Oryctolagus cuniculus: one gene and its partner. The protein of the gene in region 1 interacts with the protein of each later gene in a biochemical or structural test. Links are inferred from orthologs where the notes say so. Each region holds a gene or a part of one and is shown in the gene's direction. Other genes may lie near its edges.

Region 1 (3,813 bases):
AAGCCATTGCCACTGTCAGCCACCAGCCCTGTCCTGTCCCTCCTGGCCCGAGGCCCCCGGAGCCCTTGCTGTTCACCGCGGTTGCCCTCATGCATGTCTGTTGTATCCCTGTCCCCAGGCTTTCCCACTGGGGGCTGATCTCAACGGCCAAACAAGCAGGACGTCTGGCCTCGAGGCGAGCGGGGCAGACCCAGGCAGGAGGGTAGGACACGGTGAGCGGAAGGCTCGGTGGCTCCGAGGTGCCCCTCACCAGCCACGTCCTCTTGCAGGATCAGGAAGCCGTCCCCACCATGAGCAGCACTCTGTCGCCCACAGACTTCGACAGCTTGGAGATCCAGGGCCAGTACAGTGACATCAACAACCGCTGGGACCTGCCCGACACCGACTGGGACAATGACAGCAGCTCCGCCCGCCTCTTTGAGAGGTCTCGGATTAAGGCGCTGGCAGGTGAGGTCATGAGAGGGTCGGTGAGGAGGTGAGGACCCAGGAGAGCCAGAGCACCCCACCAAGGCCCTGGTCCCCCCAAATCCAGGCTCATGAGTGCACTGGATGTCCTCCAGCTTCCTGGAGAAGCCAGCCCTGCTGGCCCACAGCGTCCCCTGCCTGTCCCAGGCCCCTGGGTCATTTCCCTCCATCCCTATGCACTTTTACTCTTGCTGTCACTTCTGTCCCCACCCTCCCCTCCCAGTTGTGTCTTCCTTCATCCCCACACCTGTCCTCCCGCCCAGCCTCCCCAACCTGTTCCTTCCACCTGCCGCCTGTTACTCCCATTATTTCACAGACCTATTCCCTGAAGCAGGTTCTCTCTGCCCGCCACCGCCGCTTTCCACAGCCAACCAGGCTCGCTCTGGGCTGGCCTGCCTCGGCCCCTACCCTGCCTTGCCCTGCCCCGCCCTCCCCTCGGGCCAGGGCTCTCCCCTTCTGGCTGCTCTGGGCACAAACAAACCCGTCCAGCGGGCTTCCTTTCGATGGGGGGGGGGGTTGTCTTGGCAACAAGAGTGTGGCTGCCACCTGACACCACCGGCTGTCGTGGGGCTGAGTCACCCACACACCCGAAGGCCACCCACCCTGTCTGGCTTCTCTTCTCCATCCCTTCCTCATCCTCCTCACTGCCACTGACCCTCCTGCCGCCCAGCCACTCCCACCTGCGAGGTGGTGCTGCGGACTGGGGGGGAGGAAGAGGAGCGGCTCCCGGGGGAGGTTGCTGACGCCACATGTTTTATAGGATCAGCCAGGGATGATTTTTACACACGCAGCTTCCCAACGCCCTGGGCATGGCACATTAGGATCTTTGGACACATGGTCCAGATTTCAGGACTTTTAAAACCTCCCCAGGGCTAGCGTGAGGCCCCTTTGCGGTGGCCATCGCTTCTGGAGGTCCTTGTCATTTTCTCCTGCATCTCTGCGTGGCTGGGTCTTTGGGTGGGCTGGTGAAACCCTCATGTTGCTGCTCTAGTAGATCAGAGAAGACAGAAGGTGTCGGGGTACGGAGACCGTCACCTCGTAGGGGAAGTGGTACCCTGACTTTGGATTTATGTAGCACAGCAGTCGTCATGTCATCATGCAACACGTACCACACAGCACCATCACTATGTGCACATGACATGTGCCACCAGGGCTGTCACTAGGTGTGTACACAGGACACGTGTCACCCAGGGCTGTCACCTACCATGTACACATATGTCACCCAGGACTGCACTCTATCTGTATACATGTGCCACCCAGAACTGTCACCACGTCTGTTCACATGGGATACTTGCCACTCAGGGCTGTCACTGTGTCTGCACACAGGATACGTGCCACCCAGGACTACTACCATATCTGTGCACACGTGCCACGTGCAACCTAGAACTGTCACCCTGTACACACAGGACACATGCCACCCGGAACTGTCATTGTTTTCTGTAGGACGTGACACATGCCACCCAGGACTACCACCATGCCTGTGCACACACAAACACACATGTGTGCCATTCTGTGCTGCTGGGTGCTTCTCTCCAGTCCTAACCTGAGCCCCCCTGACAAGGCGTTCCTGGATGGGCTTTGCCCAGCGCTGGACCTCGCACCAGCAGGTGCCAAATAAATGCTGAAAAACTGTAGGGGGGGGGGGGCAAATGTAAGCTGCAAGTGACAAAAGGCTGAAGTCCGCGGAGAGGTGGGAAGGGAAGCCGGCAGGTGCACCGGCAGTGGGGTGCATCGCAGGGAAGGGGCTGGCTCTGGAGGCGGCGATGACACATGCGACCCCTGTGTCTGGATGAGAGACCACAGGCAAACGCCTCTCAAGGCGCCTAGATCTGCCTTTCCCGGTTTTTCTTCCTCCGCTTCCTAAGCTGGGGATCGGAGCCTGTGTCCCGGGGAGGCGCCAGCCCCGCCCCGCCTGCAAACCTTCGGGAAGTGGGAGATGGCTTGGGACCCCTCTCCCAGGTCTTCTGCCCTCTTGGACAGCTCGGGGCCCCAAAGGGCGGGACTCCGGGCGCTGGCGGGTCCTTTCCGCCCGCGCAGGGCCGGGCCCTCGCCCCAGCCAGGCTCCGCCTCCCACCCCTCCCCCGCACCGTCCGACCTGTTTGTCTGGAGCCGCCTCCGTCTCCCCTCGCCGCCGCCAGGTGTGCAGCGCTCACTTGTCCCGGGAGCCCGGACGTCCCGTAACTCTGCCAGCCCGCGCTCCTCGAAACCCCCACCTCCCTGGAGCCCCCGCCCTGCCGTGCGCCTCGGGGAGGGGACGCTGGCCACGGCGCAGGGAGCATGGACTCGGGGCCGCGGGCGCTGTAGCAGACAGCGGGCACCATGAATGGGAACGGGGTGAACAGGGGGCCCGGGCACGGCCTGAACGGGGCCAGCGAGTTTTACTACGACGCCGTGGAAGGGGCCCAGAACCCCGGGGGCCTCCCGCTGTCGCCGGCCGCGTTCATCAACCCGGCTCAGTACGCCAGCGTGCTCGAGGGGCGCTTCAAGCAGCTGCAAGGTGAGCTCCCCGCCGAGGGGAGCCCCCGGGGCGGGCGGGTGGGGCGGCTGTACCGGGGCCCCTCCCCGAAGCCGGAGCGCAGTACCCCGTGCCGGGGTGGGGAGGGGTTGTGACAAGTGCCTCCGGCTTAGCGGGGCTCCGTTTCTAGCAGCCAGGAAATCCCTGGATACAGGCAGAACCGGGAGGTTTCTTCTACGGGAGGGGACCCTGTGCGACTTCCAGGCACCTGGCCAGGTGCATGGAGGGAGCCAGAGGCCCAGGGACCCCAGCCTGCTGTGCAAGGGGAGTGTGTAAGGATCCAGGGATGTTGTGGGGGGGTCTTGTGACATCACACCTGGTCTCTGGTGCTTGGCTTGGTCCATTTTTCTCCCTCCCCCTTTTATCCTACCTATGTACCAAAATGGCCCCACTGGGGTGTGCCTGGTGTCAGGGCAGTGCCTCCCCGGGGCCAGTGATGGTCAAGGATCCAGGACCAGCCTAGCTCAGGCAGACCCTTCAGGCCCAAGAGGGGGCCCGAGGCACCCCTTGGCTCCACAGGTGCTACGAAGCATCCCACACAGTCATTAGGACCCCAGGGTGGAGGTGAGAAAGGCAGGCGCAGACATGGGTGTGTTGCTGGGGTTTATGGGTGAGGTGCACAGGAATGTGAGGTGAAAGGGTGAGTCGTTCCAGTTGCTGAGATGCAAGGCCAAGGAGTCCGCGGGACCAGCCCCTGGGCGGGGTCCTCGCCCTGGGCTCTCTGCAGGGGGCTGGCAGAAAGCCTGGTGACCACCGGAGCCCCTTGCAGTGGCCCGGGCCTCTTCCTTCGCTCTGACATTTCTAAAAAGCACCATTTGTGTTTGTCTGTGCAA
Region 2 (2,831 bases), on another chromosome or scaffold:
CACTCATCCTCCGAGTTTGAGATCGTAAAGGCCATCAAAGAAGTGAGTGCTGCCCCATGGGCCTAGGGATGGGATGGGGAATGGTGACCTGCACTGAAGAGCGATTCCTGGCCACGGGGATTGTTCAGGTCCCACCCAGCCAGGCCTCCCGGCCACTGTGTGATCCCAGCCCACTCTTGCTGATGGAGTCAGCTTCCAGAAGCACTGCCATCTTGTGGAAGGAACGGGAGCTGCTTCCATTTCCTCAACTGAATAATGGGTACAGAGGAGCTCATGACTTTTTCAAGATTTTATGTATTCATTAGAGAAGAGAGGCAAAGTTAGAGAGAGAGAGAGAGAGAGAGAGAGAGTGGTCTTCCATCTGCTGTTCACTCTGCAAATGGCTGCAACAGCTGGGCTTGGCTAATCCAAAGCCGGGAGCCGGGAGCTTCTGTTTTTTCTAGGTCTCCCACATGGGCACAGGGGCCCAAGTACTTGGGCCATCCTCCACTGCTTTCCCAGGCCGTAACAGAGAGCTGGATCAGAAGAGGAGCAGCCAGGACATGAACCAGCACCCATATGGGTACCGCAGGCGGAGGTTTAGCCTACTACACCACAACGCTGGCACCTCATGATGTTTTTTTACTTTAGGTCCAAATTAAGTTGCATAGGTTCTTCTACATCTTTGAAGAGGTCATACTTCATTTTAAGTAATTGAACTGTCATGCCACCTGTCACTGTAGGGAAACCCCTGCGCTGGGTCAGGAGGACCTAGAACTGTGTGAAAGGTAGGAGAAAGATGTCATCTAGACCTGTGCTAAAATTGTGCGTGGTCTCAGACCCTCAGTATAGACAACCAAGCATCCAAGCTTGCCCACCAGGAAGGTGGAGCAGTACAAACACGTAGCCTAGATGCCATCCCGCGGAGGCTGACAGAGACTCCCCTGCTTCTGCTTCTGGGTAGCAGCTCTTCCAACTTTGAGGGCAGTCACTGTCAGGGGTTGGTGTCTGCAGCACGTGGCTCCCCCAGGATTGTGGGTGTGTGCTACGTGTTCCTGCCAGCTGACGGTAATGCTTGTTCTGCAGAGGGCTTGCTACCTGTCCATAAACCCCCAGAAGGATGAGACACTGGAGACAGAGAAGGCTCAGTACTACCTGCCTGATGGCAGCACCATTGAGGTAGGTGGCTGGACCCCTCCCCTTTAACCCCTCAGGTCCACAAAAACTCTGGGCCCAGACAACAGGCCTGGAGGGGCTATGGTCCAGTCCAACGGTCCTTTGCCCTCTGCCTAGAGCCACATGAGCAACGTGAGCAGCCCTGCTCCTGCAGAGCAGAAGGCAGGGCCTGTGCTCCCTCCCATGTAGGGGGCGGGGGCTCAAGCAGGATCACGCTAGGTCTTGGGATTGTACGTGGATGGCTGGTGCCATCCTGACCACTCCTGGGCACAGTGCAGGCTGAGCTGCTGCTCCCTGGATCTCCCATTGCAAGAAGTTTCCATGATTAAATAAATGAGTGAATCCGCACAGTAATGTTAACGATCTCTTAGCTGGAAAGTGCCAGAGCTAGAATTAAACATAGGCACGTCTCCTCTTTGTTCCCCAGAGCCTTATCTCTGTCCCTTGGGCCCCTAACGTGAGTGTAGGAGTGTCATGTGGCAGGCCTTCGGAGCCACCTGGTTACCGAGAGATGGGCAGAGGCGCTGCTTCGATTCCCACCCCTAAAGGGACTTTGGCCCCAACCCCACCCTTTGAAGCCGGCCCTCCACCCTGCAGATTGGTCCTTCTCGATTCCGGGCCCCTGAGCTGCTGTTCAGGCCAGACTTGATTGGCGAAGAGAGCGAGGGAATCCACGAGGTCCTGGTGTTTGCCATCCAGAAGTCTGACATGGACCTGCGGCGCACGCTGTTCTCCAACATTGTCCTCTCGGGGGGCTCCACCCTGTTCAAAGGTTGGTCTTTGCTCATAGGGCCTTTCCCCTGGAAGCTTCCAGAGCCTGCTGGGCCCAGAAAGCCAAAGAATTGACTTGAGATTCTACTTTTCTGCCCATTCAGGTTTTGGTGACAGACTACTGAGTGAGGTGAAGAAGCTGGCTCCAAAAGATGTGAAGATCAGGGTAGGAGCATGGTGGGCCCCAGCAGGGTAGCCCTGGGCCCCACGTGCTCTGGCCTTCCTCTGGTTCTGCCCGAGTTGTTGGGCAGCCAGCACTCTACAGGCAGTAGCAGGTGGCTCCCAGCCTACACCTGGACCCTCAGGCTTAGGCTGGCCAGAGGAGGGCTTACACAGTCCACCTCTTCACTCAAAAGGAGGGTAATTTTAATACCCAGATGTTGTGGGGCCTGGCGCTGAGGGCCCCATCAGTCTTTTCAGGACAGTGTAAAGTGGACAGGGGTTCAGTTTTATTGCTGCTGCGCTCTGGCTCCCGTGTGGTGCAGTCTGGCATCTTGGTGCAGAAGGGACCCTGCAGGAAGGAGTGTGGTTCCTGTGTGGAGTCTCTGCCCCCTCATAGCCCCAGCTTCCCCAGGTGAAGGTCGGGCCAGCCACAGTTGCCTCCACAGAGGCCACGGGGTCCAGCAGGAGAGAACTTGAAGCCTGTCGCATGGACTGCCTTGGGTGGTGAGGTGTGCCTCCGAGGGAAAGCGGGGGCAGGGTGGACGACTCACATCCACCTCTTCCCCCACCTTTGCAGATATCTGCACCTCAGGAGAGGCTGTACTCCACATGGATTGGGTGAGTAGCCCTTTTGGGAAGCAGCGGCATGCAGCAGGCAAAGGTGCAGGTTACCCGTCAGCATCCCATTCCTTTCAAGAAAAGCCTCAGCTGCTGTGGCCCCAGGGGGATGGCTGGCCCTCTAT

What was found.
Region 2: the proteins of SPTBN2 (region 1) and ACTR1A form a complex in vitro, tested with the Homo sapiens proteins (2 studies listed by BioGRID). The link is inferred for Oryctolagus cuniculus from reciprocal best matches to the Homo sapiens genes SPTBN2 and ACTR1A.

Annotation. Positions count from the first base shown.
Region 1 is NC_091432.1:5,206,871-5,210,683, forward strand, and holds part of SPTBN2 (spectrin beta chain, non-erythrocytic 2), read left to right. Parts: intron 1-118; coding exon 119-212; intron 213-269; coding exon of another isoform or gene 270-315; coding exon 316-447; intron 448-2,173; exon of another isoform or gene 2,174-2,784; coding exon of another isoform or gene 2,785-2,962; intron 2,963-3,813. UniProt on the Homo sapiens protein: Probably plays an important role in neuronal membrane skeleton.
Region 2 is NC_091446.1:27,489,145-27,491,975, forward strand, and holds part of ACTR1A (alpha-centractin), read left to right. Parts: coding exon 1-42; intron 43-1,065; coding exon 1,066-1,158; intron 1,159-1,752; coding exon 1,753-1,927; intron 1,928-2,030; coding exon 2,031-2,092; intron 2,093-2,665; coding exon 2,666-2,706; intron 2,707-2,831. UniProt on the Homo sapiens protein: Part of the ACTR1A/ACTB filament around which the dynactin complex is built. The dynactin multiprotein complex activates the molecular motor dynein for ultra-processive transport along microtubules.